Linked DNA regions of Caenorhabditis elegans. The protein of the gene in region 4 purifies or fractionates together with the protein of the main gene of each other region. This does not show direct contact. Each region holds a gene or a part of one and is shown on either strand. Other genes may lie near its edges. The genes, in order: droe-4, rbc-2, Y37F4.1 and H20J04.9.

Region 1 (6,868 bases), on a different chromosome or scaffold from region 4:
TTTTTATAATCTGAAAATGTGAAAATGACAAATTTTTCAAGTTTCAAACTGTGCACTATTAGAAACATCCGAAAATTTCAAAGCTGATCATTAAAATTGACATTTTTTCAGATTATACGTTCTCCAGGAATCCGATAACATGTCAATTGTAGCTCCGTCGTGTGCTTCACTGGAATGGTGTGATGATATTGATCGTAACGGACCGAGTCGTATTGGATTCGATGAAGAAGGATCATCACCACAAAGACTTCGACGAGCAAACCTTGATTGGGATCTTGAATCAGAAGTTGCCGTTCAACGAGCCCTGTCAATTGCTTCTTCATCTGTAACGCGGGAAATTGAGCCAAAGTTTGCTCCGAAAATGTCGAGAGATTTGATGGTGATGGCTTGTGAAATTTTTCAGCCATATTCACCACCATTTAGGGTGAGAACTTTCAGAAAAACTTCTTAAGTATGGGGTTATTCATGTGATGTCTAAAAATGTAAAGTAATGTTTTATTGAATTAAAACAAATTTTTTTTGACACAATTAAAGACAATGGCCAAAAATGCAAAAAAATGAATACTTTTTTAAATAGTTTTTTACACACAAAAATAGCCCTCTTAAAAATTACGGATTTGATTTTTTTTAAAAACCAATATCTATTTTGTAAGTCCATTTTACCTCGAAAAGGTTTTTTTGCTCGTCTGGTTACTTTCTCCAACTTTGTGCAAAATGGAATTCTAATTAATTTTAAATGGTGAAAATGTGAATGTGCTTTAATCGATTAAAAAAAACATTCACAATACATCATCAAAATTGTTGAGAATTTGAAAATCCTTCAAGTTTTTTCAAAAAAAAAAAAAATTACACCATTTCAAAGTTATTACAGGACCTCCAAACCATCTATCATAAGCGTCGTCTGAAACGAGTCGCCGTTCCGAGTGTCACCGAATCAAATGAATCATGTGTTTCTCTATTCATGCGATCGGCTCTTTATCACAAATGTTCACTTCTTCGCGACGCCACGTGGTCGATTATTGAAAAGGTGAGCAATTTCACAAAAATGCCAAAAAAATTTCCGCATTTGAAAGTACCCCCGTGTGCTTAAAAAATGGAATGAAATTTCAAGAATAACAAGATAAAATGAACAAAGCACCCATGCTCTTTTGATTAAAAATGGGTCCCCATCGTTTTTTGAAAATTCAATTTTTCTTCCAATGACACATCCACCGGATTTCTCAATTAATTACGTGCGTTATTGTCGTTATTGAAGCCAGTTGTCGAACAAAAAAGAAAATAAAAAGCGGATTAAAGTCGTCACGATTTGACTTCGGTACGAATTGTTTTTTTTTCTAAAAATGAGAATACATTTGTTTTTCGAAATTTTCAGTGAATCATTCATAGAGTACTACTGTAATATTTTGTTCTAGAGAATCTAACCACTTTATGTGATTTTTCATGCTCTTTGAAGTTTGTTTGAAAACCTTTAAGTTCGCAGATTTTTACATTTGAATCCTCCGATGCCAAGAAACCCCGCGATTATTGAAGAAAGCTGTTTTCAGCTCAAGAAATGACAGAAAATCTAGAATAGCTTCTTATCCCATTTGGATGATTGGAATATCACGATCTGGTATCAAATACCCAAACAATAATAAAAGATTATAGAACATTTAGGATATTTTTAGTTTTTTCTTGCGTTTCACCACCCACCACACCTTTGACGTGCTTCTTGAATAATATCTTGAAAAGTGCAAGTTGGCTCCGCCAGACAAGGTTTCAGATGAGAAGCATCATTGCACAATATCTAGAAGCTTCGTCCCAATTAGAAGATGTGTCTGACGTATTGAATTCTGCTGAAAAGTCAATAATGTCAGCTCTGATGATTTCGACGTCTTGGTTATCATTAACTCGTCTGCTAAAGTTCAGAATCACTAGACCGGTTAACCTGAATGTTATAAATGGAATAAGCGAGGATTCGTGCTCATTCCCATATTATCATTAAAATGCAAATTGAATGCCACTAGTTTTGCAGGGGAAATAATTTATGTGTATCCATTGCTCATTGCCAGATTGATCATTCAGATGCATCGAAGAATTTGTGTTCGATTACTCTCATCAGCAAGATCTCATTAATTTTGCAGAATAACCTATGTTGCGTTGTATGTTCTTCGTTTTTAGCTTTTCGCTTTTTGGCAAGAAGAGCCCGTGACGTAAACAAGACCTCACACGAAGAATACTTTATGAGTTGTATGGGTGATGTTGGACGCGCACGGCGATCAACTCTTCAGGGCTCATTTATTTACTGTTTAAAAGTTTGAAAACCAAAGTTAGACAGTTGGAATGATCTAGAATAATGAATAGCTTCTTTGGTCTCTATACGTCACACATATATTTCATTTTTTGGTGGATCTACAAATGGAATAATCTAATCGGATTAAGAATGGAAAGCAATAATGGATGTCAGTTAATCCGGCATTTATACAATCAAGATGAATGGGTATAATCAGAAGATTTACCTACGTCGAAGGAGCCTCTTCATGATATCTGAAAATAGTCGGCTAACTTATAGTTGGGAGAGTATGTATACCATAGTCTTTGTTCACTTTTTCTTTCAAATATTCGTAAGCAATCGATCATTTGAAGATTCTGGGATTATGGAACAACTCAGAATACTGCAACGTTTCTCATCTTTATTCAGTTCGTTTGTTCAATTATCAGAAATGGTCATTATCACGGGTTCAAGGAAGAAGAAAATCAGGAATTATTCAAAAATGGGGATTATAGGAAAAGAAGACTGGCGACATCCCGACGAATAGCATATTATTGGACGAAAGGATTCAGGAATTAGTAGAAGACTTCTGGCATCGGGAGCTTATTGAAATCGAGGAAGGTTGTAAATCCTTTTGGTAGATTGCAACCGTCTCTTTTGCACAAACAACGTAGGCTGACCTGAGATGGATGGTTTGCAGCGTGGAATTGGAATGCCTGAAGTGATTTTATATAAGAAACCGATTCCTCCAATTATATTAAGCCTGATAATATTGAACCTACCTCTTGTAGACAAACGTTGATCACAGCGTGTCCTGGGATTGGATTTCCGTACATGGCCAAGATGTTGGTGTAATCATCGGAATCCATTTGAACTCCATTGACGTAGTACTTGTTGTAGTCCTTTGGGTCTGGCATGTAGCTACACAACTCGTAGATCGGCTCGCTCATCGTGTATCCTTTTGATGGATTGTTGACATCAATCGGCTCCCAGCACCGAATGCTCTTTGTGAGTTGATCGTGAGCATCTTGAACGGTGTTCTTAGCAGTTGAACGAACACTGTAACCCGAGGCCAGGACGAGTGAAGAGATGAGAATAACAGTTGGAGTGTTCAACATGTCGACCGTTTCAGTGAGATCGAAAAAAAGAGATCGGCAGATGTCCGAGTGACTCGAAGTAGTGATTAGCCCTACTGCCAACTCTGTTTATATGATGAAGCTGAAATGGGCGGAGTCAGTTTTTTAGTAACGAAAGGCGGGCTTTGAACAGAGCTGGAAAATAGGAAAAAGGAGGTGGAAAAGAAAAGCTGAAGATCAGGAGGTGTTTTTTAGAAACATGTGACAGATACGGGTGATAATGTTAAGATAAATGGTCAGCTCATGTTTTGATTAAGTTAAAAGTACATAAGGATCAAGGGAAGAATGCCAAGTTATGTCATATAGATAGTAAGGTTTTCAGAATGAGGAGATCGGAAAAAAATAACACGGATATCCCTTTATTCACTAATTGGGGTTTTTGACGTGTACTTATTTCACTAGGGCTGTACAAATCGGCGTCCGGTCGTCCGATTTTGACACCACCGGACGCACTGCGTCCGGTTTTGGGGTAGGTTTCCACGGCGGCCGACAATTTCCGAGTTTCGCCACTCACTATACTTAATCAGCAGTTTTATAGTGAGTGGCGAAACTCGGAAATTGTCGGCCGTCGTGGATAGCTACCCCCAACCGGACGCATGTGCGTCCGGTTCGGACGACCGGACGTCCGGTTGTACAGCCCTATATTTCACCGTACCAAACAGGGCGCCATTTGAGATCATTCTACACAGTGCGATCTTCCCTACTGTTGATCAGAACTCTTTTTGACTCAGCGATTCGGTGTTCTTTTGCCTCTTGACGTGAATGATTTCAGTTAGCCTCTACTAATTAGTTATCCGCATCGCTACCAGCACCAAAAATATTTCTGAACTCTTCTGTTTTGTGAGCCACAACGTTGACTCATTATTTGAACGACCAAATTTTGGAGTTAAAATTTTTTTAAAGACAATCTGCACGTTTAGTGATTGATCTACCACGCCTTATGAGGTGATCATTTGAATGTTTGCCAGTAGCTTTAAAGAGACATTTGATAAAGTATAGAAGATCAACAAATCGTTTTGTACTTTTAAATATGTCTCACTTCAACGAATGTAACTTTTCTAGTCGGCATTCCCATCCGAAAAAAACCGAAAAGTCCGAGCTCCCGGGCGTCACTGTTAATCTCAATTTAATCCTAGTGAATCTTAAAGTGTCCAGGAACCACACAAAATGAGGAATCCAATTTTCAGCGTGAAAATTTCAAATTTTTGAGAGGTGTGGAAGTGGCACATTTGCGTGTGAAGAACGCTTCTGAAAATGATTGAATGGTCACGAAGATGCTCAAAAAGAAATTTAAAAAAATGGCAAAAGTACATCTTGTGCCCTTTGCACTTTTCACCCAATTTCTTGTTCTGATTTCATTATTGACGTCAATAAAGGAAGAAGGACCCTTGTCAAATGACCCTATATCTGGTATCATTCTGACTACATTTTGTTGCAGATAGATCTGACCTGTGAAAAAAGTGGAAGTATTTAATATTCTGTCTTGTGATTTTTGAGCTCAAAACCCCAAGTGTCCACAGTTTCAGAAACTGTCGACTAGCTGGAAAAAGGAAGAATAATGCCTGTGAATAATAATAATGATTATTATAATACGTCAAACGAGACAGTTTCCTTTCAAATCAACATGTCTACGATATGAGAATAGGAAATTGAATCACTTTATAGGATTACAGTAAAATCCGATGTATGAGAGGAGAACAACAAAACAAAAACCACGCAAAAACTGGCTTAAAGTAGACTTATTCTTATGGGAGGCAAATTTTATAAACCCGCGCGATTTGGTAGATTACTTTCTAAACAAAATCTCCGAGTCCAGAAATTATTTTTTTTGGAGATTAAAACTAATATATGTTTATTTTCCAGCGATTCGACAATGCAGTCCAAGAATGCGATTTTATGAATAAATGGCCAGGCTACAGTCCGTCTTCAATGCGAAAAGATCTGAAAAAGTTGCATGATTTGGTGAGTTTCAACAGAAATGCTTCGACCACACTACATTACTCAACATCACTACAATTTTCCCACGTTTACAAAAAATTTACTAGAAAATTTGGTCTTTCGTGTGATTCTTCTACAAACTATAAGTGTGACTTGTTTCAAAGAACGACAACTTTTTCTTTGAGTTTTTAGTTTGAAATGTCATGTATCCCGGTTACCGGAAATGCTAAAGTTATCAAATTTCATGAAATTCAATTATAAAAATTTGGTTTAATTTAATGTCCGGTGGCATTTTAATAAACTTTTGATAGAATAGTTTAGTTAAATTACATTTAAAAAATGAATAAGTAGAAGTATAGATAAAAATACCATTGAAACATACTAAACATGCTAAAAAAATTTCCATAAAATTTCAATCTGAAAGTTTTTCAGTTCATTTTTCTCAGATTTTGGGTAGAATTTCCCCAAAACCGGGCTTTTCAGATTTTTGATTTCCACTCAAATCTGCCAAAAAAATTCTTATAAAACAAACACATTGTTTGCATTGTTTGCATGCATTGTTTTTTTTCTTGTATACATTGTTTTCTAAAATGTTGGGGAAAAATTGATTTTCGTCGATTTAATTTTCAAAATCTGAAATAAAGGTCGCTGGCACTGAACTTTTTTAATGTCGTGATTTCCGACGATTTTCTACGCTCAGCATGGCTTCTTTGTTTCCGGTAGTTCACTTTTTCTTTTTTAGAACAATAGTTTAATTATTCCTAGAAAAAGAATGAATTTCTACGAAAACAAGCCATAGTTCAAATTGATGTTCAGTGATGTTAGATGCTGAAGGACTATGCCTACGCAAACGCAACTTTATAAAATCTGCAATGATCTGACCAATCTTACGATTACTTTCAAATCATACATCGACACCATAATTCCATTCATTTTCCAAATGTTTCAGGCATCAACTGATTCGTTATCCGGACTTGAAGAAGATCACCATAAAGCCTACCAAGTGTTGATGGTTCTCGAAGCGAAGAGAGCGTATGACGAACGACTTGCTGGACTTTTCTGTGAAGATTGGTTCAATGTGGACAGTCCTGCAGACATTTTCAAGATTCTCGTTGACCGAGGAGATGACGATTTACCTCCAAAGGTATAGATATGGAATTTGGAATATTTGAAATGCGCGCAGACTAATTTGAGCGGTTAAGCCGATGTTCGCCGACGAATTTAGAGGATTTTGAGAGCTTGATAATATTTTAGATTAATTTGCAAGTTTGCCTCTGTTGAAATAAGAAAGTTACCGTATGTTACCGTATGGGACAAGTAAATTTCGTGTTACTTCCCAAGACTCAAAATTCCCCCTAACGGCACGTGGTGTCAGGTTGTCCCATTACGATTTGATCTACAAGGGAATTTTCCCAAAAAAAGTAACGTTAGCACGCTCTGAACCATGCGAAATCAGTTGAGAAGTCTGCGTCTCAACTCCCGCTTTTTTGTAGATCTACGTAGATCAAACCGAAATGGGACACTCTGACACCATGTGTAATGG
Region 2 (8,785 bases), on a different chromosome or scaffold from region 4:
TGGGAAAACGGAGGGACCGATTGGAGAAGTACTGAAATGAGCAGATTCACGTGGTGTCAAAGTGCCTCATTTTGGTTTGATCTTCAAGAAATGCGGGAGAAGAGACTGATTTCGCATGGTTAAGAGTGTGTGTTGACGTCACATTTTTTTGAGCAACAAAATTCCCGCATTTTTTGTAGATCAAACCGCAATTGGACAGCCTGACACCACGTCTGCAGATTACTATGTAGAGTTGAATTTCTAGATCAGAGCATTCGATCCATGCGTGGGCGGCGGCAATCCGAACTGACAAAGTATAGAATTTTGAGAAACTCTATTTATTGTTCGGATTCCAACTCCCAGAATGAGAGGTCAAACTCTACAGGTTTTCATGAATTCGGTGAGAAAAAATGTGTTTCTTCACCAAAAACATTGAAGTTTTTTGCTAAAAAACTTGTAAATTGTCCAAATGTCGAATCATCAAATTGCTGAACACGGGTAGATCAGGGAAAATTGAAGAAAAAATCTGGATATGCTTAGGCCTTTATTTCTGGAGATAACACATAATACGGCAGCCTGGGAGATCTGCGAATTTGGAATTTTTCGAGTTTTTAAAATCTAAAGAAATTGAGATTCTACAAGCGTTTTCCTCTAGTTTCTGCACATTTCTAGATGAAATTTCGAAATCTAGAAAATCTAAAAACTTGAAAAATGCCCTCCAGAGCTATAAATAAATGTGATATATCTATAGGATTAATTTGAAAATGTAAACTAATCTGATGATTTATGAGCTAATACAGACACTACTAGAAATATGTATGTGTGTGTGTGTGTGCATATGCTACCGGCTGGTAATAAACAATATTTTTTACAGGAAAAGTTGAAAAAAATAGACTAGGAAGTAGTACAAAAACCTACATACTATAGAGCAAAAAATAAAAATTACGAAAAAAGGACAGAGCTCATAAGAGAACGAGATAGAAACGATTTGAATGACAGATGGCGAGAGAGAGAGAGAGATTCGACTAATGTTCGATTGATGGTATGACACTTGGCGGGAAAATCAATCGATATTGATCACGATTTTCGAGATATCGATCATTTGAGGAGCACATAATCTTCACTTCATATTGGAGAACCACCGGAATTTACCAAAGTTCAAAAAAATTGACATTTTTTATGTACTAATTCTACATTTTTTGTAGCATTTCCAAAAGTTTTCTAGTAATTCCAAAAAACTACTTATTTATAAATTACACAGATCCAAATTCCAGAGATATCGATTTTTTAAAGAAAATTTGCACCATTATTTTCTAAAGCAAAATAACTGAAAATTACTGAAAAATGAGTATTCCGAGCACATTTTTGCATTTTTTTCAAGAAAAGTTGTATTTAAAAATCGGTGGAAAAAATCCTCACTTATAAATATCGACAGAGCTTGGTCCATTTTTCATTAATTTCGCTGAATTTTTATTCAAATTATGCAGGATTGTTAGCTCAGTTTTCAAGAATTTATACTCGTTTTCTCTGAATTTTCAGCCCAGTGTTCCAAAAGTTCTCCTCATTTTTTTTCTTGTTTTTTAGCAAATTTCTATATATTTTCTCCCCAATGTTGCAGGATTTTCAATCATTTTTTTTCCTAAAATTTCGAGTAATTTTCGCTGAGATTTTTAGCTAATTTTTCCATAAATTCTCAGCATTTTTGCCGAATTTTCAGCCAATTTATCCGGATTTTCTCTGGATTTTAGCCAATTTTTTTTCCATAATTTCTTTCCATTTTTGCCGGATTTTCAGCCATTTTTTCCATAATTTCTCTCTATTTTTGCTGGATTTTCGGCAATTTTCCCATATTTTGATTCGATTTTCACCGGATTTCAGGCCAATTTTTCTCCAATTCTTTACCTTATTAGTTCTGCCTCTATATGCATTACTCTCCTCAACCAATCGTGTTTTACGAATTTCACTGTCATCTTGTCGTTGTCCAAGTGCTGTCACTTCAGCCTCCACTCTTGTCTGAAATTTCAGATTTTTTAAATAATTTTTTTTTCCAAAAAACTTGAATTCGGTCCCAATCTACAGATTCCCATGCTCTTGAGACGATTTCCATAAGGTCTGAAATAAGAAATTAATCGAATTATTTAATCACAGCAAAAAATCACACAATTTGTTAGAAATAGCACACGGATTAAAACCAGAAAGGTTGAAAAAGTGAAAAAAAAAAATTAAAGAAAATCTACATTTTATTCGCTGAAAAAATTTAAATTTTTGGAAAAAAAAACGGGAAAAAACAAGAAAAAAATAGGAGAATTTGGAGAGAACTCTACGGGAAAACGAAGGGTATTTGCAGAAAAACGGCCAATTTTTCAGAGAAATCTAGCTTTCAGTAATATTGTAGCGCCAGTCGTTGTATTTACGGTAGTCTTTGCGAAGATGATAGTCGGCTGGAAGCTCATTGAGCACTTTAGCTGCTTCTGCCTTGTAGTCACGGAGCTTCACCTCTGAAATTGGGGAAAATTGAATTTGCCGCGAAAAATGGGATTTTAAATGAGTTTTTAGTGAGATTTTCGTGAAATTCAGGTGGGAATGATGCCTAAAACTGAAAAAATTGATTTTTTTGACTTGAAATTCGGATTTTTTCCGCAAAATCTATCAAAATTTAACTTAAAATACAATATTTTTTGGATAGAAATTTGAATTTGTCGCTAAAAAATGTCTGAAATTAAGGTTTAAATAGTGATATTTTGGCTCGAAATTTGAAATTATTCCGAAAAATACAAATTTTACCAGTTTTACAAGGCTTTTTTGACTGAAAAAAGGTGAATTTCGTGACTTTTTAGTTTTAAAAAGCTTTAAAATAGTCAAAAAAGCGAAAAATTTAACAAAAAAGTGGTTTTTTTTTCAGGAAAATATGCAAAAACGTTAGAATTTTTCAAGTTTCAGGAGTTTCTGGGAACTTTTCTGAAAAGTTCATACAAAAATTGAGAGAAAAACAGTGGAAGAATTCAGCTAAAATATTGATTTTTTCGCATTTTTAAATTAATTTTATCGTAAATTCTATAATTTCTGTACCTGGAGCCGCGGTGGCCGAGTCATAGACATGAAGTTTGCTGAAGTATCCAAGCTTTGGACGCGTCAAGTTCAAATTAGCTTCCACGCAGGCATCGAGCTCCTTCTGGTCGTCATGGCACCTGAAAATTGAATATTCTACTGCTTTTTCGCTTTTTTTTTCGGAAAAAAATCACGTTAAAATTTTTTAACGGTTTATTTTCGATGAAATTTCATTTTTGGAAAGCTCACTTTGACATGTAAAGCTTGGCACTGCTCTGATCAACACATTCGGCGAGCTTCTGAGTCTGTGGAAGGCAGGAACGCTTCAAAGATTGAAGAAAATTGACTCCACACGCGGTCAGCGCGGCTCCCTCCTTCAAAACGGCACGTGGATCCTCGGCTTCCTTTCGTCGAAGCATGAACTCCTGCAAAAAATCTCAATTTTATCGAAAATTTGGCAGAAAAACCAACATTTGCCTCCTTTTCGCAATGTTTTGCCATATAGGGAGCGATGGATTTGAGCCATGGAGTTGATAAAGTGATTTCCTGAGGAACAGTGAGCTCCTCGTCACTTGGAAAATGCGTATCCTTGGTTATACTCATCGGAAAATGTACCCTGAAATTGGAAAATTGGAAACCAAGCGGAAACTGTTACAGAGAGGGAATTCGGTGATGAAATTTATTATTTTCGATGAGAAAAATTTGAAATTTGATTTTTAAACAAAAAAAAACAAAAAAAAATCGATTGAAAATAGTTTATTTTGATTTTAAATGATAAAATAAAAAATAAAATTTGTTTTGCGCAACGGCTGTTTGCCCGTAAATCCACACAAGTTTAAAGGCGCATGCCATGTTGGCTCTCTTCCCTGCGAGACCCGCGGCATCTCATGTCGATTTACGGGCTATCGAACTTTGCCCTTTTCTTGCTCCGATTAAAGTTTTCTAAAAAAAAAGCTTATTTAATTGAAGAAATTCAGATTTCATTTCAGATTAAATATTATGAAATTATTGTGTAAATTTCTGCTGTAAATCTGAAAATCTAGCTGAAAAATGGTGGAAGTCGCGCCAGCCGGCACAAAATCGCCGGCGCTCTCCGTTCCAGTTGTCATTTGGGGCCCGAAACCGCCGGAAAACAAGATTTGCGCAATTCGTGTGCTTCCTGATGGCGCAACAATTATCACAGGTTAATATTCATCGAATTTTCTAAACAATAAAACAAAAAATCTGAAATTTCGAAATTTTCAGGCGCTGAAAATGGCCACATTATTATTTGGAAGCTAGCAGAAGGACTTATGCCAAAGCAGCTAATGATTGGACATTCTCAAAAGATTACAGCAATCTCTCAGACAACAAATACACCGACAAATACGTTAGTAACGCAGGATTTGGAAAAAATCGATAATTTCCGAAAAATTCCAGACGTTTTGTCTCAGCTTCAGCCGACGGACGTGTATGCCTCTGGGAGATTCAAGATGGACGGTGCATTGATTCAACATCTTCTATTGCAATTCACAGATATATTTATCCATACGTAGGCGCTGGAAAATCGATTTTTAGCCGAAAAAACCGAGAATTTTTTTGATTTCAGACGTATAAATCGTCCCGTCACACGAGAGCAACTCGTCTTTTCTGTATTGGAGATTATAGTGATATTCAAGTAATGGATCCACAAGATTTGACAGTTGTATTCTCAATTTCTTCAAGAGTTGAACCGGATTGGATAAGCTGTTTTACAATTATTAGTCATCCGGAAAAGGAGGATCAGTTGATTGGAATGACTCTGAGTGGAATGATGAAGGTGTGGAATTAATGGAAAATCGATTAAAAAGCGAAAAAATTAATTTTTTTCAGCCAAAAATCACCGAAAAACATTAAAAAATATCATATTTTCGCGGAAAAATTGCATTTTTAAATGTTTTAATGTGAAAATACAAATTTTCTAGAAAAAATCTTCAATTTTATGTAGAAATGGAAAAAAAAATCGCGATACCCTGATTCAAGCTTATTTTTGAACGAAATTTGGTGGTTTTGAGCAAAAAATTGTAATTTTTGCCCAAAAATTTGGATTTTAAAAGTTTTTTATTAATAATTTCGATTTTTCAAACTTGTAAAACGACAATTTCCGTGAAATTTTCAAATTTTTTTCACTTAAAAATCACAGTTTTTGGAATTTTTTCTCCAGAAAGCCAATTTTCTACTTAATTTGGAAGATTTTTTGTATAGCCTTTAGATTAAAAAAGCTGATTTTAAAGCTATTTTTAAGAAAAAAAAAATTAATTTTTACGACTTTTGACGTTGATTTTGGTGTAAAAATGTATAAATCTATTGAAAAAATGTCATTTTGGACAGTTTTCGAGTGGAAAATTGAATTTTTGAAGCTTAAAAAAAAATTTTTAACTAAAAAAAACACAATTTCCGTGAGAATTTCAAATTTTCAGTTTATAAGCTCTTTTTATGATGCAAAATATCGATTTTAGGCCGTTTCTTATCAATTTTAATGCAAAAATAGTCATTTTCAAGCTCTAAAACCACATTTTTCCAGTTGAAAAGCTCGAAAAATTGAATTTTTATAGCTATTGCAGTTGATTTTTGTGTAAAACATGTATAAATTCGTCCAAAATATGACATTTTAAACGGTTTTTCGAGTAGAAAATAGAATTTTCGAAGCTTTTTTCCCTGTTAAAAGGCAATTTCCGTGACATTTCTAATGTAAATTTTCAATTTTTGACTGAAAAAAGCGAATTTTTGAACAATTCACACAATGTAAAGTGTTCTTAACGCAAAAATCTCGTTTTTAAATAGATTTTTACTTGTAAAATGACAATTACCATAAGATTTTCACATTTAAATTTTCACATTTAAAAATTCTAATTTTTGGTTTAAAAAGCTATTTTTAATGCTAAAACGGAAAAATTTAAATTTTTCCGAGGTAAAAAATTGATTTTAGATAATTTTAGACCAATTTTAACGCGAAAATAGCCATTTTCAAGCTCTAAAACCCCATTTTCCAGGTGTGGACGCTCACAGAACTGGAGAAAAAGGACCCAGCAACATCTCTATATGAAGATGAATCAAAACGACTAGAAATTCAACATATTCGAAGTGTTTCATATATTTGTTCAACAAGAAGAATGCTTTTAATAATTGCATCGACATGTTGGATGATTATTGATATGGATGATCTTTCAACAGTAGTTTTTCATAAAAATGAAATAACTACGAAACGTTGTGTGGCTGGATATCTTACGGATTTGGATAAAGTTACAATTGGATATACTGATGAATCAATTCATGTATTTCAATTGCCTATCGAGTGAGAAAATTCCGGAAATTTTTATTGGAAAATACCGGAAAAATCGAATTTTTCAGCTAAAAACACATGAAAATCAACAAAAAATCACAAAAACGAATAATTTTCTTTGATAAAATTATCAATAATCTAAAGAAATTTGAAATTTTCCTGGAAAAAGCATACAATTTGCGAAATACCCTAATTTTCTAGCGTGTAATCAAAAAAAATTGACAAAAATCGAAAAATTTTTGTTTAAAAAATTAAGTAGTTTTGCACTATTTCGATAGATTTTCGTATATATAATTATTGATTTAAACAACAAAAAATGAAACAAAAAATCCGCTTTTCCACGAAAAACAGATTATTTGCAGAAAAACTATATCTTTTAATGAAAAATTGACAAAAATTGAGCCAAAATATCCAAAACGCACATTCTGACGAATTTTCTCATAGAAATTGCTTATCGAGTGAAAAATCCCGGGAAAAATCGACTTTTTCGGCAAAAATTGAGTTAAAATCGCTTATTTTCAATTAAAAATATGCAAAAAAAATAATTAAAAAAAAGATAATTGATTTTTTTGGAAAAAATAAAAAATAAATAAATAGCTTAAAATCACGAATTTTTGTTGAAAAAATTTGAACATTTCCCACAAATTTGACATATTTTTGCCTAAAAATTCAAGATTTCAACGCTAAAAAGTTGAATTTTCTTGAAAAAATTCTCTTGAAAAATTTTTTTTTTTCGACTTTAGCATTCAAATTAATCTAAAATATAGTAAAATAGTATAAAAATGGTGAAATTTACTATAAAATTCAAAAATTTCAAAAAATAATAAAAATTTCAAATTCCAGAAGTCTCCAAAAAGAAGGAGTACCGCCAGTTGTTGCAAATAATCGTCCAACCTCAAATTATTTCGATCAGCCGAATCCCTTCATTGTGGCCACTGTAAATGGTGTTCAGGAGCACTCGAGATCTGTAAGAGCTCCGTGTCGATTTACGCAGCTCGTGTGTACTCCCCGAGGAGAAGAAGAAATTTCCTGATTTCAGGCCATTTTTCACTGATTTTTTCACTTTTAAAATTAAAAAAAAAATCGCCGTGGTTACTGTGAAAAACCATGAATTTATGTTGATTTTGGCTCTAAAAAGGCAATTTTTGTCTAAAATTCTCAATTTTTAGTATTTTTTAACATTAAAATCGCCCATTTATCGAATTTTACTTCAAAAAACTATTAAATTAGCAAACCTTGACGATTTGAAACCGAAAGTGATAAATAATGACAGAAAATTCTAGATCTCTAATTTAATAGTGTTTATTGCTATAAACTGGAGATTTGAATACCAAAAAAAAAAGCGCCAAAAATTGCATTTTAAGCTGAAAATCGAGAAAATTCATTGATTTTCCCAAAAATCTCTACAAAAAATTGTGAAAATTGCATAAATCAAGAATGTTCAGCTCAAAAACTGTAAAGTCTTGTCCTCGGGGAGTACACGAGCCGCGTAAAGCGATTTTCCAGCTTAAAAGCCCGAAAATTCTCAATTTTCCCAAAATTTTCAGTGCCTAAACGACGTTCAATTTGCATTTCTACCATATAATTCTTCAAATTCCCTGGAATCTTCATCATCTTCATACGAAAAACGTCGTTTCTCAGTTGTACGAAGTTCAAGAAGAGATGGAAGTGTACTTGTATGGAATATGCCACCATTTGATCATCAATTCATGAAAGCTGTGCCAGCTATCAGGAATTTGCCATTTAGTACGGGCGATTTTTGATCTAAAAATAGAAAAAAGGCTAAAAATTTCAAAAAACCTGCGAAAAACGTATTTTAAAATTTTTTGTCATGTTTTTGCATATTTTTCTTTAAAAATTTAATTTTTACTCCAGTTTTCATGAAAAAACGCTCAGTATTATCATAAAATTTCATTAAAGTGAATTTTTGGGTCCCATCACGAAAAATTCGGGGTTACTGTAGTTGTTGCAACTGTACAAATCTTAAAAATTCAAATTTGAATTTTTAAAAAAATTGAAACCAGGAAAACTAGGCCGAAATTAAAACTTTAAAAATTTGAAAAAATTGCAAAATTACAGTAACTAGTCAGCCGGTTTTCGTAGTGGGACCCAAAAAAATTTTCATTTGAAAAAATTGAATATTTGAGACAATTTTCACCACAAATTAGATGCAAATTACGACAAAATCGTTAAGAATTGTAATTTTTCGTGATATTAGAAAATCAGAAAGTCATAAAAAAAACTATGAAACTATAGATTTATCAACCGAAAAAAAATTAGCTTTCTAAGAAAAAAAAAAGAAAATTTATTTTAAAAAAATTAGAAAACAACTGAAAACTTTTAGAAAAAAATTGATGATTCTTGTCAAAAAAAATTCAAAAATTTTAATTTTTTTGAGCTCAAGCGATCAGGAATTTGCCATTTAGTACGGGCGATTTTTTTGGTGAAAAAATAGAA
Region 3 (8,609 bases), on a different chromosome or scaffold from region 4:
TCTCAAAAAACTGTTCAGCATAGTCAAGAATACCAGAATATGCCTATCAAATTATAATAGTTTGTACGGAAGTATTTTTTAAAAAATTGATAAAAATATATAAAAGCTGATTTTTTAAAAAATTCAAAAGTATGGGAAAATCATATGGAATCATTCTTTTTTATCTCAAAAAACTGTTCAGCATAGTCAAAAACACCAGCAAATACCAAACAGAGTATATTAGCTTGTACGGAAGTATTTTTTAGAAAATTGATAAAAATATATAAAAGCTGATTTTTTCAAAAATTCAAAAGTATGGGAAAACCATATGGAGTCATTCTTTTTTATCTCAAAAAACTGTTCAGCATAGTCAAGAATACCAGAATATGCCTATCAAATTAAAATAGTTTGTACGGAAGTATTTTTTAAAAAATTGATAAAAATATATAAAAGCTGATTTTTTAAAAAATTCAAAAGTATGGGAAAATCATATGGAATCATTCTTTTTTATCTCAAAAAACTGTTCAGCATAGTCAAAAACACCAGCAAATACCAAACAGAGTATATTAGCTTGTACGGAAGTATTTTTTAGAAAATTGATAAAAATATATAAAAGCTGATTTTTTCAAAAATTCAAAAGTATGGGAAAATCATATGGAATCATTCTTTTTTATCTTAAAAAACTGTTCGGCATAGTCAAAAACACCAGCAAATACCAAACAGAGTATATTAGCTTGTACGGAAGTATTTTTTAGAAAATTGATAAAAATATATAAAAGCTGATTTTTTCAAAAATTCAAAAGTATGGGAAAATCATATGGAATCATTCTTTTTTATCTTAAAAAACTGTTCGGCATAGTCAAAAATACCAGCAAATACCAAACAGAGTATATTAGCTTGTACGGAAGTATTTTTTAGAAAATTGATAAAAATATATAAAAGCTGATTTTTTCAAAAATTCAAAAGTATGGGAAAATCATATGGAGTCATTCTTTTTTATCTCAAAAAACTGTTCAGCATAGTCAAGAATACCAGCAAATACCAAACAGAGTATATTAGCTTGTACGGAAGTATTTTTTAGAAAATTGATAAAAATATATAAAAGCTGATTTTTTCAAAAATTCAAAAGTATGGGAAAACCATATGGAGTCATTCTTTTTTATCTCAAAAAACTGTTCAGCATAGTCAAGAATACCAGAATATGCCTATCAAATTATAATAGTTTGTACGGAAGTATTTTTTAAAAAATTGATAAAAATATATAAAAGCTGATTTTTTCAAAAATTCAAAAGTATGGGAAAATCATATGGAGTCATTCTTTTTTATCTCAAAAAACTGTTCAGCATAGTCAAAAATACAAAAAAGAATGACTCCTTATGATTTTCCAGGACTTTTGAATTTTTGAAAAAATCAGCTTTTATAAATTTTTATAAATTTTTTAAAAAATACTTCCGTACTAGCTATTATACTTTGATTAGCATATTCTGGTATTTTTGACTATGCTGAACAGTTTTATGAAATAAAAAAGAGTAGCTGATGGTGGAACGAGTTGAGCAGTTTCTGGAACCAGGACAGGCTGTTGAACATCTGGAACTGTTGGAGCTGGAGCCGGAACTTCTGGCTGTTGCTCGATTTGAGCTGGTGTTGCAGCAGGAGCCGGAACAGTTGGTTGTTGCTCATCAGCGTTGGGATGAACTTCTTTTCTTAGTTTTTGTCCTAGTAGAACGAGTGCTTCTAGTACTTCATGTGCTTTTTGGAGCATCATTTTCATTATTTTGCAAGTAAAAATCGGTTAAATTTTCCTTTTTAATCCTTGAATTTTTATTCAGGAAATGGTTGTCATGGAAACAGATAAGCTTATATATTCATCACATTAAATTCAACTTTTAAATAGAAAATAATGCTTTTTATAGGTATTCATAGTCTACTTTTTCGCGAGAACTGGAGCAAAGTTGGTGGTGGGTTTTACTTTTTCTTAATTCAGAAAAAAAAATTTTCAGGTGTCGAATATGAGGGAAATCTGAAAATAAAAGTGGAAGTTGTTGGAAACAAAGCGAAATTATCGGAAAATGGTGAATTTTTGTATAAATTTTTAAATACTTTGTATAATAAAATGTGAATTTTTGGTACCGATGATTCAGATTCCGGGCAGATGAATTTTTAGCAGCTTCAGTATTGGGTTTTTGAGATTTGAGATGTTTCTGCCTTCTTCCTATATTATACTGTAGGAGTACTGTATGTGATAAACGGTAGGGTACTGTAGGTGGTAAACGGTAGGTGTACTGTAATTTTTTGTTCAAAAACTTTTTTTTTCCCTCTCATAACTTTGCCGTCGTTTGAGCTATTCTGATTCTGAGCCAAATATATGAAACCTTGAAGATTTCTTAAGCGAGAGACGAAAAAAATTTTGAAAATCGAGTCATACATCACAGAGATAATCGACCGAATAGAAAAATAATGCCTTTTTTGATTTTTGATTTTTCAACTTTGAGCGTTTGTTAATTGGTTTGTTTAAGTTTAATTTTAATTCTGTTTTTTTTAATAGACTCAGAATTTGACGCTGAATTCAAATATGTAAGATTTTTTTCCAGCTTTAAAAATGAAAAAGTTATGAAAAAAAACTAACATTTCATCTCCTCATCAAAGTTTTCGAAATATCTTTTATGTTTTTACATTTTCTTTTTAAAATTGAAAAATCTTTTCAGCATATTTCTTTCATCTTAGAGAAACTGAAAATTCAGCGCCCAGGGCGCTAAATAATTATTCAAAATTTTTAAATTAGAAACAACTCCTTAGCATATTCCATCAATCTTAGAAATAGTTCAAATCAGCGACGAAGGCGCTGAATAAGTCTTCAAAGTTTTAAATTAGAAACAACTCCTTAGTATGTTTCTTTATTTCAGAAACTTTGAAAAATTCAGCGCCGAAGGCGCTGATAACTCTTAGGAATTTTTGAATTTAGAACAACTCCTTAGAATATTTTTCTAATCTTAGAGAAGATTCAACTTAGCGCCCAAATAATTTTTAAGAATATTTCAATGTGAAACAACTCCTTAGAATATTTCTTTAATCTTAGAGGAACTGAAAACTAAAGCGCCGGAGCCGCTAAATGATTTTTCAAAATATTAAATTAGAAACAAATCTTTGGAATATATTTTGAATTTCAAGGTGAACACACTTAACCCCAACACAGGTTTGAGGCAAAGCCGAGAACCTGCGCCAGCTACCTTGTTGATACTTTAGAGCGAAATAACCCTATCCCCACTCCCGAAGGGATAGCGCACTTTGTGCGCTAGTCTTAAAAATTTTTTTTTTAATTGAAGGTTTACAAACAAATTTGAACTTTTAAAAAGCTTTGCTATGTAGGAAAAAGGATACTCAATTCAAGAAATGGTATGTAGAAAAATCGATTTAAAAAAAGTTTTTTGATTTTTGATTTTTAATTTTAAAAGTTTAGTCCCAATAATTCAATAAAGTTTTTCCAGAAATAGAGCAAATTCGAAAAATAGCTGAGCTAATGGGCAATCCAACGGAACCGGACGAAGTTTCGGATGAAAAAGACGATAGTTCTGAATCAGACTACTAGTTGCTGAAAAAATAATTTATAAGTTTATTTTAGTCACATTGTTGATAGTTATAAATATTTTTTTGAAATAAAAAAAACCAAAAATGTGTTTTTTGCACTGAAAATGTTGCGTTGGCTCAGTTGCAGGGTAAACCCATCAATTCATAACTTCAGCAAGAAGTCCAAATTGTGTTAAGTTCGAGATCCCTTTAGAAAGCAATCTTGCACTTATTTTACTTTTTCTTAAATCTACAGTTCAAATTATTAAACAAAAATATCTGAAATCAAGAAAAGTTTATCTTCACGGATGCTGAAAGTTTATAGACTTGTGGAAGTGTTCTATGATCACTTCTCATGTTGCACTGAGTGGACTTTGGAGACGTGCATAAAGCGCATGACTCTAACGCCCACGCGGCCTCTGAGCAGGGAGCGTCACGCCCTCACGAGTATATAAGCCGACTAGAGAATAACATCCTCAGTCGAGAAAGACCTTGCCTGCTGGCGCCGGACGAAAGTAAGACTCTCGTCGTCTGGCACAGCAACGACTCAATAAATGCTTTAGCACACAATCAAAGTGTTTTTGCATGATGTTTAACCATAAGCTGTGGCACCGGTTTATGACCGTTAACAGACTCCTCCAGTATATAAGGTTGTCCAAACAACTTAATTTTTCATATTTTGTGCAACACTATCTTGCTGAAATGAAAGAAACCGGCCCGTGTTGTTACATTCTGCTCATTTTAATTTTTCCGCCAATCGCCGTCTACGTGAAAGAGGAAAGATGCTCTCTGTCAGTTTGGCTCAACCTTTGTTTCTGCATCCTCTGCTGGTTTCCGGGGGTGCTTCATGCTATAGTCGTCTGTTTCTGCTTGAATTATTTATTTTATTTACTTACTATCAAGAAATGAATTCTTGAGATTAATTTATTTAGAAGAATATAATACTGAATTACAATTAAAGAGAAGAAAAGGGGAAGATAGCGGTCTACATCTAGAAAGGAAGCATTGGTATTATATAATATAATATAAAAGAAGGAACTTATATAGGTCTGTTTTTAATCGAATTATAATGATATTGGGGTTGGCGTGAATCATATGAATAGGAAAAGAAGGGAAACGTTTTGGTTTGAATCATAAGGATCAAATATCATATTCAAAGAGGGAAAGATTTGACACTTACATACAATTAGATTAATTTTTCCATGTACAGATTATCTCAGACCACAGGATATGTAGTTGCTGACTAACATTTCACTGCTAATGTGTAAGCGGCCACTGATTGAATATTGTGGGAGAATTAAAATTTGGACTCTGAATGAAATTGCTTCATAATAAAGCAAAAAGTTATCCAAATTTCTATATTTATCATGTTTTTGGATACTGTAGTTAAAAGGTATAAACGCTTTATATTATATTTTAGTTTTCAAAATACATATATAGGGAAAGCCTCATGCAAATTTGTCTAGAAAAATGATTTGAAATTGTTCAAGAAGTATGAAAATGTTAAAAAGCGTACAGTTAAACAAATTTAAGATTTTGGAATTTGTCAATCAGTAGGTTTATATTAATCTTAAAAATGATAAAATCTGCAAACCCGGATTTTAAAATAATATAATAAAAAAATAATAAAAATTTTAAATAATATAATACATAAAACTATAGAACAATTTCCAGAGAACTGTTTAGATTTTTTGTTGAATAGAAAGTTTCCACAGAAAATTTCAAAAACCGCCTTTGGAGCAATTTAACTGGTAAAACACGGAGCTAATAGTAAGCAAAAATTTCAAATTTTTTCACAAAATTTCAATCACAAATATTTTCTAAAAAATGTTAAAAATAAAACAAAAAATTACTAATTTAAATTGCTTTGTTACGTGACACATTTTATGATGACAAACATACTTGTTTATCAGACATGAAATCTCAATCTCAGTTATTTTATATTTTTAATGGCAAACAAGAAGAGTACGAGTAGCTGCTATGAAAAGCCAATCGCTCAGAAATTATTTTATGGATTAGCTGTAAGTTTTTGGATGCCTCCGAAACCGAAATCCGAAACCGAAAAAAAAAGAGAGTTTTCAGGACCATCCAAATCACGGTGTATTTTCGTCGATTCTGAAGAAAAAGAATCGCTTGTTTTCGATGACTGATGACGTGAAGAAGCTTTGCAATCAAGTTGAAGCTTATAAAGAAGCCGCAGATCGACTTCATCAGGCACTGATTCAAATGTTCGTTGAGAATCAGGAACTTATGAAAGCTGATACGAATTATCAGTACGCTGGGCAGTATCTAAAGACGTATCAGGCGATAAATCAGAAAGGAAGAAAGTTGGGTACGAAGGTTGACCCCAAAGAAATGGATGTGAGTTTAGTTGCAGAATTGATCAGAAAAGTGACGCGACATTCAGTTTCTAGAGCGAATCCTGTTGAAAATCGAGGAAGTTGGAACGACTTTTTTGCACCTAAGAAATTTGGTATATTTTCTAGGCTTGGATTTTTAGGCTTAACAATTTAGGCTAAGGGCTTTTAAATGTTAAAATGTAGGCTTAGGCTTTTCAAATAAACCATTTAAGCCCAGGTAATCAGGCTTAGGCTCCCCAATTTTTTGGCTTATGGAATGGCACCTGATAATAAGGACACAAATTTCAGAGCTTAGAACCGGCTATCCAAACCTTGCTCAATCTGGATTCCATACAAGCAAAGCAAGTCCAAAGGCATCTGGAAAACTTGTCGGCGTTGACAAAATTCATTGGCGTCGACTATTGGGAGTACGCAAGGCTTCGAAAGAGTAAGAATAAAAGGGTCTATAATATGAATCTAAATAAAAAATTTCAGTTTATTGGCTCTCGCTGGAAACCTACGACGACGCAATCAGTCAGCAGAATAAGGAGCGAACGGAGCAAGCCGAACTCGCGGCGGGAAATGCTCAGACATGGAGGAATGAGTGCAGACAGAAGGTTATTGACTTTATCAATAAGTCGATTAATGAGCAGAAGGGGAAACACGCGGATGCAGTTTTGAAGTAAGTTTTGGAACTACTCCCCGAAAAAAAAAAATTTTAAGGTTTCGTGACGATTCAATTCTCTTCCACAAATCCATTGCTGAAGCTATCCCAATATTTGATGATAGAGCACTGCCAAAGAGTAAAGAAAAGCCATTGAAATCCAAATGAAACTTGTCCGAATAAAGAATTATGTGATTTTTATTGCTTGCAACTTCAAATGTGTTATATTTGATTTTAGTCATCAGTTTACAGCCACATCAGCCACAAGGCACCCCTGATTCCACCAAAAGGTGCGCGGCGATTGCCGACGGGTAATTCTACAATTTCAGGCAGAGATGTGTTTTCCCAATATTTTTCATTAAATTTTAGTGAAAAGATGTAGAAACTATGTGATCTCTCCCATAATAACGCAATTGCCGCGCAACCCGGATTCTATCCCTCTCCATCGCCTCAACATTCGCCCGCTATTTCACTTTTTTCGAATGGCATTTTGGAAACGTTTTTTGAATAGCTAAGGTTGCTATGGGGTGGCTCATCACGTCCCACACAACACCCCTAGCTTTAACAATAAATTTACGCTGAAAACAGAACAGAAATGAATCACATTTTATTCTCTCAAGTGCTATAGTCTACTTCAGTGCTTCAACCTTCTCGACATTATTTCTCCTTTTTTCCATCTTTCTTCTTATCCAATTTGTTTGACTTGCAAGCGACTGGTTCCTGCAGAGTTTCTCGAATTTCAGCCAATTTTTGTAGTCCCGCTTTGTACCAGTGTTCTCTTCTGTCATCTGGACAAGTCAATCGCGTAGATGTATAGAATTTCTGGAAAATGTCGTGATTCTCAATCCAAGATTTCATCCATGCAGTTTCCAACGCAGCGATCGGGATCATTGTGAACGTGTTTTCCTGGAAATTATAAATGAAATCCAGAACTAGGAACCGCAATAGACTTGATAGTAAAACTCCAGTAATAGGACTCATTTCAAAAAAATGTTGAACTTACATCTGCAACCAACTTCAAGCAAACATAGAGTGCAAACTCAATCTGTGCAGTCGCTACCAAATCAATTGATCTTGTTTTCTGAGTTCCCATCCAAGATCCAGCGATCGGAAGCATCGAGTCCAAATTCAGGGAGCTTCCCATGATGTGCATCAATGTGTCAATCACTGAAAAATCATTTCATAGATAGGTACTAAAAGGAAAAAAAGTTCCCGGCTTCCCTACCTCTCACCCGGAAAATTCAATAAATGAGAAATCAGTAAAGACGAGAAAAATTATATAAAGAGCAATTGGCTAATAAATCATTTTTCTAATATTTCAAGTGTTTTCAACCTTGCATCTCATTTTTCCGGAGCCGTTAAATAAAACTAACATGGTAAAATAGTCGCTCTTGTATCAACATTTCCCGCAACAATTCCTACATTAGCATACTCGTTATCACTGGACGTTGATTCATACATCTTCGCAAACGGAACTAAATTAAATGAAACAAATCCATGTGGCATATTCTCACACTTCCAGTAGAGGAAACTATGATTACTAAAATTTGAATTAGGAATTTGTGAATATTGTTGGAAAAATGTACACACTCTTCAATCCTTCGAACTTTATACACTGATAAACCGGGAATTTTCGATTTCAATTGTTTTGACGTGTAAATCAATTGTCCACGTTCCTTCACTTCTAGCGATAGTTCAGGGCAACCTTCTTCTGAAAACAATTCAATTCAATTATTTATAAGCCTAAGTCTAAGTCTAAGCTTATAAGCCAAAACAGGACTTACCACCGCGTAAATTGGTCAACTCAATAACAACCCGACACTTCAATCGAACCATCCAATCAAATATTTTCCTCGTCTGCGTATTAGTATTCATAATACACCATTTTCTGGAATTCGGTGCTTCAATGATTGCAGAATGGCAATATTCGTCAGTTCCTTTCTCCTGTTCAGCAATAGATTTACCAATTTGTATGGCATATGCCTGCTGAATTGCCTTGGCAACATTTCGTATCTCTGCTCCATAATCCTTGCCCTCATGCTCTTTTTTGTCGATGAGATTGT
Region 4 (8,218 bases):
TGACAAATGATCCGAATCCTGGGGATACTTATAATATTGATTGGGATGCTGAAATGCGAGATCTACTACTGGATTTTGAGGAAAAAATCGATCAGGGACAAATGGGATCAATAGAAAAAATATTTGAATGTAATCGAATTGAATGGAGAGATAATCTTAAAGAATCGGGAAATGTTTGTATGCTTTTGAACGAAGATATTTCTATTTTTGGAGAGATTTCTGTGAATTTGGAGGAATCTGAGCATTTTTCGGATTCTATGAAACTCGCCATCGCATTTTATATGATTATCAAGAGTATTCATTTGAAATTCATCAAGGCTCCGTATATTAGTCCGAATAAGGATGAACGTTAGTTTTTTTTAATGAAAAAAATTATTGATAAAATGCAAAAAAAAAATCATAAAAATTTGTAAAATTATTGATTAAAAAGAGATTTTTAAAAGTCGAAAATTACAATTTATTATTTGTTTTTTGGCCGTTTTTTTTTTAATTTTTAATTTTTAATCTTTAAGGGTAAAAATGTCAGTTTTTATGGGTTTGAAACAAATTTTTTTGATTGAAGAAAAATTCCTTCGATTAATTTCTTAAAAAACTAATTTCGGAAAAATCGGAAAATAGCGTTTTTTTGGAAAAAATTTTATAACAAAGTTACATCGTAAATATTGATTTTCCGATTTTTTATGGGTTTTTTTTGTGGAGAAAATGGAAAAATTAATTGTTAAAAATTATTAAAAATTTTACAGTAAAAAATACGAGAACTCTGTAGATTTTTTTAATTAAAAAAATATGAGAAAACCCCAATTTATTCCAATTTTTACTGTAAAATAAATGAGGAAAAGTTGAGATTCGGAAAATCGGAAAAAATGTAGAAAAGAGTATTTAAAAAAAACGAGGAACCCGTAGATTTATCAACAAAAACATCAATTTTGATGGAGAAGAAAATCACAGTTTATATTTAAAAACCGCAATTTATTGGAAATTTTGAATTTTTCCTAATTTTACCTGAAAAAATATAGTTTTTTTTTTCAATTTTCAACGAAAAAAAATCCCATTTTTCCAGACAGAAACTCCGCAAAAAAAACGATAAATCTGAAAATTTGGAAAAAATGTACGAAAAATACTATACATTTATCAAAAATATGTTCATTTTTTTCTGAAAAGTGAATTAAAAAAACAATAAATTGAACACTTTTCGAGATTTTTTGATAAGTTTTACTTTTTTTTTTTAATTTTACCCCATTTTCAGATGTTTCCTAATTTTTTTCCCTAAAAAAAATTTAAAAAAAAACTAAAAATCGGACATGTCGAAATTCTCTGGAAAAAATCGGTATTTTTCGATTCCCAAAACAAAACAAAAAAAAATAACTCAAATGTGACATTCTTCCGAAATTTTCTAAATAATTTATGTTTTTCCTAATTTTCAAATAATTTTCCGTCATTTTCAGACGGAAACTTGAAGCCCTCCGAACTATTCATACGTTGGCAAAGAGCACTTCTCGAATGTGAATCCCATTCAGCTCTTTCTCTATTCATCTCAACATTCGAAGGATCTATCAAATGGGATAAATCTCGTCTCCAAGGAAAATGTCGTTCATGCCGACGAAAAGCCGCTGCTCATGATCTTGTATTGTGCTCTGAATGTGATAATTGTTATCATTTGAAATGTGCAAAGCTGGATGTTAACTCAGATGCTCCAGCTGATTGGATGTGCACCAGTTGTAGAGCTCAACAGAGAAAAGTTGAGAATGAAGCAAAACGAATGGCTCGGGATGATGATCAATTGGCTGAATCTTCATCACAAGAAGATGTTGCAATTGGAAATATATCGATTAGCGATAATTTCTCTGAAATTGCTCCAAAAACTGCTGAGCCAGCTGAGAGCTGTAGCACCCCGACAACTTCTAAAGAGCCGCCAACTATTCGAACTGCAAGTGGTCGGGCTGTAAAACGAGTTCATTATTCTGATATTCATGAAGGATTAAGCTTGAAAAATCGGAAATCCAATGGATCCATGCCAGTCACACCTTCGGAGAGACCTGTTAGAAATGTTTCTGTTAGAATGTGAGAGTTTGGAATTTTTTTTTTTGACGGAAAACTTAAATTTTCTGCTGAAAAAATCGTTCAAAATGCCTTTTATGATTTTTTTTTTCAGAAGTTTCATATTGTTTGTTAAAAAAAAAATTAAAGAAAAAATTTCCTTTTTTTTGGAAAAATTGAATTTTAAATCTGAAAAATTGGTTAAAAACCGTTCAAAACACTGAAATAACTGAAATAAATTTTTTTAATTAAAAAAATTAAATTTTGAAAATTCAATGGAAAAAGTAGCATTTTCTACTGAAAATCCATTTAAAATTTGTTCAAAAAAAATTTTTTTTAAAAAGAAATACAACTTTTTTTGTCAGAAAAATTTTAAAAAGCTCAATTTTTTTTCAAAAATTGTAGAAAAAATTATAAGATTTGTTATTAAAAATTGCTACAATTTTGGACTTAATTTTCCAAAAAAACCAGCATTTTTTTTCTGAAAAATCCGTTCAAAATTTGTTTAGAAACTATATATTTTTTAAGAAATTCGAGTTTTCTGAAAAAAAAACTTTTTCCTCAAAATTTGGAGTGAAAGTTTTGTTTAAAAACATTAAAATTTAAAAATTAATTTTATAAATATCCTAAAAATAATTATACATATTTTGAAAATTCCTGAAAATTCTAAACATTTGTAAAAATTAGTGGTTTTTTTGTAGTTTTAAAAAAAATTTAACTTTTTTTTTCAAAAAAAGTAAAACATTAATATTCAAAAAATTAAAAATATTATTTTTTAAATAGTTAAAAATTCATTTTTTTTTGTTGGAAAAATTGAGAAAAAGATAAGAAATTTTGTTTGGTTTTTTTTAACCGCCAAAATTCAGGTGTACATCAATTTTTTTGAAATTTCTTAAAAGTTGGAAAAAAAATTATTTTCAACTTTAAAAGGATATTTTAAAATTCGAATTTTTTCAATTAATAAGATTTTTTTTCCAGATTTGACGTTGAAAACGAGAATGTTTTAACTGATGAAGATGATTCTGACGGTGAAAATACGCGAAAGCGAAAGACACCAACATCCAAGAAATCAGTCACATCAACACCGACTACAAATGATATTTCCCGTGTCATAATACCAAATATTAAAGAGAAAATGACATTAATTGAGACATTATTGAAAGAAGCAATGCGTCAAGAATGTTCATGGCCATTCCTTCAACCAGTTGATTCGAAAGAAGTTCCAGATTACTATGACGTCATCAAACGGCCTATGAATTTGAGAACTATGATGAATAAGATTAAGCAGAGGATTTATAATAAACCTATTGAGGTTGATAGTTTTGAAATTTGACAATATATTTGAAAAAAAATATCCAAAAAAAATTGCTTTCTGCAAAAAAATTTATATTTAAAAATTAGCATTTTTGATATAATTAAAATTTTTTAATTAAAAAAACAAAGCATTAATTTTTTTTTGTTGAATTTTTTTTGAAAAAAAACCGCCAAAATTCCAGGTTCGCAACGACTTCCAACTAATCCTATCAAATTGCGAGACGTACAATGAGCCGGAAAATGAAATCTACAAGCTTTCTCGAGAACTTCACGATTTTATGGCGGATCGTCTCGATGAGATCATCGATCAATAAACATATTCATTTCATTTTTCTGTTACTTTTTTTTCTTGAATTTCTACTTTTACCCCCCTCACCTATCAATTTTCATACTTAAAAAAAATTCAAAATATCCATATCGTAAATCCACACAGACTACACAAAATCGTATCTCAATTGTTTTTTTTCGCTCTTTTTCTCTAGCTCTCTCTCCTTTACTATTTCCTAGAAATGTACTCATTTTCTGTTAATTTTTTTTTACAATTTTTTCGTTCACATTTTCTTTCTCTGTCGGTCTTAACTCAACCGCTCCCCCGTTACAAAAATCTCAGTCAAAAAAAATTAATTTTGACACGTCATATTTGTTGTTCTTGAGGTCCCCCTGTGACTTTTCAAAACGTTATTTTAATTGTGCTATTTTGTGTCAACTACTGATGAAAGTCATTGAAAATGAACTCGTAAATTTGAAATTTTAGTTTGAATTTTCGGTTTAGGAGCAGTTTTCAGTGTAGAATTAGCACTATATATTGAATTTTAGAATTAAAAAAATCGAAAAAAAAAATTTTTTTTTAGGGTTTCTTTTTAAATTTAGAAGTTCAAAATGGAACATATAAACTTGCCATTAAAGGGGCGCGGCTTAATAATATTTTTCAAATCAATAAATTTCCAGCTCCAAAAAAATGGCTTCCCAAAAGTTAACAAAACTGTTCGCCAACTCATTTAAGCTGGCGACAAGTGATCTCGCAAATCAATACGCTCTACCGGTTAAATCAATGACTGGAATGATTGTGAGCAAGTATGGTGCATCGAAATCCAGGCGGCTCAATGAGAAAGTCGTTGAGAAAATGGATATTGGGAAAGATGATTTTCTATTTGAAATTGGATTTGGACGAGGAGATGCTATGAAAATGTGCTTTGATCGGGTTAAAGACGGCCGGGGAATGGTAGGTGGAGAGGGTGTAGGCAGGCCTGCCTGAAATGCCTGAAAATTGTAAAAATCTGTAAATCGTGGCCTAGAAAAAGCAAAAACTCGGCCACCGATTTATTTAATTTTTTTCCCACAGACTAATCTGAAACTTTGCCACCCGATAGTGGCCGAGTTTTCTCTTTTTCGCGGCCATGAAGCTCGATGCCGGCTAATGTATTAAAAAAAAACCCAGTCAGATGCACCATGTCTTCACTTTCGCGGTGTGCATTTTGCCACGTGTGGCCTAGAAAACAACTCGGCCACCAATTTTAATCGTATGTTTTAAACAAATTTTTACACCTTCTAGGTGTCCCAAAACAACCTCTTTTCTCGGCCGTGGCCGAGTTTTCTCGCCTCACGGCCACGTAGCAAATCTGATCATTTTCACATTCTCTTTTTCTCTCTAACACCTAAAATTTCCAGGTATTCGGTGTTGAAAGATCCGGCTATATGAACGAACGAGCCATCAAACGATTCGTTCTGGAAATCGCCGAAACCGATAAAATCCGCATCGATTCGGCAGTTGATCTACGGAATCTACCGTATCCCACTGATCTATTCAATCATGTATTCCACGTGGATCTCTTCTATTTTCTACAACAAAATGCACTGGTAAACATTAATCGGGAACTGCTGAGAGTTCTGAAACCCGGTGGAACATTGATTTGTGGAATGCAATTCGATCGGTTGAAGAAATTGACGGAAAATCGAATACTTGAGGAGAATCAGTGGGATCCAATGAGATATCTGTGGGCACTGGAAACGGCGGAATTTAGTGATGTTAAAGTGCTTATTATATTGAGGAGCAAGCGCGCTCCACTGCAAATTGAAAACTCTCCGCCCCCAAACCATGGGTCTCGTTAGGTATTTGACTCCAAAACCGTAAATTCGAAAATTAAAAAAAACTTCAAAACTACAGTATTCCTACAGTGTCCTTACAGTACTACAACAGTACTACTATAGTACTCCAATAGTACTACTACAGTACCCCTACGGTACTCCAATAGTACTACCACAGTACCCCCGTAGTACCCCTACAGTATTCCTACAGTATCCCTACAGTACTTCTACAGCACCCCTATAGTACGAATACAGTATTCCTACAGTGCCCCTACAGTACTCCTACAATACTCATATAGTACTACTACAGTATTCCTACAGTACCCCTACAGTACCCCTACTCTACTTCCATAGTACTGCTACAGTACCCCTATATTACTACTACAGTACCCCTACATCCTACTGTACCCCTATAGTACTATTACTGTACTCCTACAGTACTACTACAGTAATTCGCGGTTCGGCCGCCAAATACCTAACGAGACCCATCATTCGGGGGCGGAGCATTTCCATTTGGCCATGGAGCGCGCTTGCATCACGATTTCAAAAAGCAACACTAAATTCCAGATCAACTACCATAAGGACCCCCAAATTGGTGAATATCAAATCATCTCGGCTACAAAATCTACTGATCCTCTAGCTGGACAAGATCCTGAAGAATTAATGAAAAAATTGGCGATGGATATGAAGAAAGAACGACTGGCCGAAGCGATGATGAATGATAAAAAGAATTTTGAAGATCTTTAATTTTTTCGGTTAAAAATGTTTTTTTAAAATAGGTTTTTAATGATTTTTTGTTGTTATTTTTCGCTATAAAAATAGGTACTTTTGAAAATTTGTTTGGAAGAGTAACATTCTTTATTAGTGTGAAAAATTGGAAAAAAGTTTAAAAAAATTCAAATTTTCGCGCCAGTTTCAACACTAGATTTCCCATGCTCAGGTCCCGGTGCAATTTTATTTCTGAATATTCCACTAAAGTACAGATTCAGTAATGGCATGGATATTTCCGGGAAATGATTGAAAATTTGAAATGTTGATGCGAAATGGAAACGAGCATCGCCTTCCTCAGAATCTTGTTCGAAATATTTTGTCTTCATAAGGATGTCGTATGGAATTATTATAATCTGAAAGATGTTAAATTATATTCCTACAGTACACAACTATAGTACTACTACTGTACTCCTACAGTACCCCTACCGTACTCTATAGTATTCTTACAGTACTCCTACAGGACCTCTACTGGACCTCTACAGTACTACTACAGTATCCCAACTCAATATCCCTTCAGAAGACAACATGTTTTTCCAAAAACTACAGTATTCCTATTATCAAAATATAAAAACTGTCACATAAAATTTGACTACAGCGACGCACGCGAAATATTCGCTCTCGATTCTAGAAACGTCAGTTTTTGCGCTGTATCTTCGCATTTTCTCGTCTCCCGTTTCTGTCATCACCCGTGGTTCCAGCTGTTTTTACGGCATGAGGAATCGAGAGCGAATATTTCGCGCGCGTCGCTGTAGTCAAATTTGATGTGACAGTTTTTATATTTTGACTTTACAGTATCCTACGTTACCCCTAAACCAATATCCCTTTAAAAAAAGTATTTTTTTCCAAAACTACGGTAATCCTACAGTAGTTCTACAGTATCCCCATATAACTCTTACAATACCCCTACAGTACTTCTACAGTACCCCCCCCCCAGTTTCCCTACAGTACTCCTAGAGTACGCCTACAGTACGTCTACAGTACCCCTACAGTATATCTAAAGTACTGCTACAGTACCCATACGGTACCCCAGCTCAAGATTTCTTAATTTGCAGCAATCCTAAAATACCTTTACAGTACCCCTAAAGTACCCATATTCCCTAACCCAAAAAACTCACTAAATATAAAATAGATGTGATAAGTATTTCTATATGAACACTTTTCTCCTCTCTAGACATATTTGTGGTATTTATAAGAACCTTTTTATTTTTCTGTCTCTTCAAATAGTACAAAATCATATAACAAATTATTGATGCTACTGGAAACAAATGAAACATGCGATGGATACTCTAAAATGTTTTTAAAAGTTAAAATTAAAACTAAAGTAACCCTTATTTACCTTATCACTGTAAATATCGCCGTGTCCGTTCCAGGGGTTTTCGAAGAATCCCAACCACAAGATAAATATTCGTTTTATTTTGAAATTTCTCAAACCAAGTATTCCAATAGTAATAGAAAAAGATGCACTGAATAGAATAAGAATAACAATTTGCACGTTGCCAAATATTCGATGATTCCAAGTTTTAGAAAAAAAGCAGAACAATTGGTTTAACGACATTTGAAATATAATTGTCAGGCAGAAAAATCGACTACAGTAATCCACGAGAAGAGAAAATTGAAGGATATCTTCTAGGAAAAGGGAACTTTCAGATGTCATTTCCAGCATAATTATTGCGAAGATTAGGAATGATACTCGGAATATAATCATCGATGATCGGACAACTGTGAATGCAAAAAATGGGGTCTGAAATGACAATTACTTGACAATGTTCGGTCAACTTTCAGGAACTTTTTTGGGATTTATTTTTTCTCTTTCTCTCCACCAAGCCTAAGCCTATGCCTAAACCTAAGCCTGAGCCTATGCCTAAGTTTAAGCCTGAGCCTATGCCTAAGCCTAAGCCGAAGCCTAAGCCTAATCCGAAGCCTAAGACTACGCCTAAGCCTAAGCCTAAGCAGAAGCCTAAGTGAAATCCAAAGCCTGAGCCTAAGCGGAACCCAAGGCGATTCAGACTTA

What was found.
Region 1: the proteins of H20J04.9 (region 4) and droe-4 fractionate together in Caenorhabditis elegans (co-fractionation; one large-scale study listed by BioGRID). This does not show direct contact.
Region 2: the proteins of H20J04.9 (region 4) and rbc-2 fractionate together in Caenorhabditis elegans (co-fractionation; one large-scale study listed by BioGRID). This does not show direct contact.
Region 3: the proteins of H20J04.9 (region 4) and Y37F4.1 fractionate together in Caenorhabditis elegans (co-fractionation; one large-scale study listed by BioGRID). This does not show direct contact.

What each region holds. Positions count from the first base shown.
Region 1 is NC_003283.11:13,989,263-13,996,130, reverse strand, and holds droe-4 (dietary restriction over expressed), read right to left. Parts: upstream 3,476-6,868; 5' UTR 3,370-3,475; coding exon 3,034-3,369; intron 2,968-3,033; coding exon 2,827-2,967; 3' UTR 2,655-2,826; downstream 1-2,654. Other genes in the region: ric-7 (CRAL-TRIO domain-containing protein), read left to right, coding at 112-424, 872-1,027, 5,251-5,349, 6,275-6,469.
Region 2 is NC_003281.10:2,523,921-2,532,705, reverse strand, and holds the start of rbc-2 (WD_REPEATS_REGION domain-containing protein), read left to right. Parts: upstream 1-4,016; 5' UTR 4,017-4,026; coding exon of another isoform or gene 4,027-4,056; 5' UTR 4,057-4,077; coding exon 4,078-4,210; intron 4,211-4,272; coding exon 4,273-4,396; intron 4,397-4,446; coding exon 4,447-4,558; intron 4,559-4,615; coding exon 4,616-4,825; intron 4,826-6,038; coding exon 6,039-6,340; intron 6,341-7,171; coding exon 7,172-7,295; intron 7,296-7,875; coding exon 7,876-8,074; intron 8,075-8,785. Other genes in the region: cone-1 (Protein CASP), read right to left, coding at 1,882-1,992, 2,036-2,086; Homeobox protein cut-like ceh-44, read right to left, coding at 1,882-1,992, 2,036-2,086; ndua-8 (NADH dehydrogenase [ubiquinone] 1 alpha subcomplex subunit 8), read right to left, coding at 2,353-2,477, 3,049-3,167, 3,277-3,452, 3,499-3,630.
Region 3 is NC_003279.8:10,854,056-10,862,664, forward strand, and holds Y37F4.1 (BAR domain-containing protein), read left to right. Parts: upstream 1-4,031; 5' UTR 4,032-4,590; intron 4,591-4,753; 5' UTR 4,754-4,936; intron 4,937-5,456; 5' UTR 5,457-5,492; coding exon 5,493-5,564; intron 5,565-5,625; coding exon 5,626-5,904; intron 5,905-6,191; coding exon 6,192-6,330; intron 6,331-6,377; coding exon 6,378-6,564; intron 6,565-6,605; coding exon 6,606-6,714; 3' UTR 6,715-6,743; downstream 6,744-8,609. Other genes in the region: Y37F4.4 (Signal recognition particle-docking protein FtsY), read right to left, coding at 1,454-1,744; Y37F4.2 (Sec-independent protein translocase protein TatA), read left to right, coding at 1,880-1,937, 1,980-2,051, 3,465-3,565; Y37F4.5 (START domain-containing protein), read right to left, coding at 7,204-7,452, 7,550-7,713, 7,920-8,086, 8,137-8,257, 8,331-8,609.
Region 4 is NC_003280.10:4,346,889-4,355,106, forward strand, and holds H20J04.9 (Methyltransferase domain-containing protein), read left to right. Parts: upstream 1-4,299; 5' UTR 4,300-4,309; coding exon 4,310-4,573; intron 4,574-5,019; coding exon 5,020-5,382; intron 5,383-6,003; coding exon 6,004-6,183; 3' UTR 6,184-6,270; downstream 6,271-8,218. Other genes in the region: athp-2 (Bromodomain adjacent to zinc finger domain protein 1A), read left to right, coding at 1-348, 1,446-2,061, 3,016-3,349, 3,534-3,665; H20J04.7 (Serpentine Receptor, class Z), read right to left, coding at 6,333-6,560, 7,323-7,493, 7,544-7,948.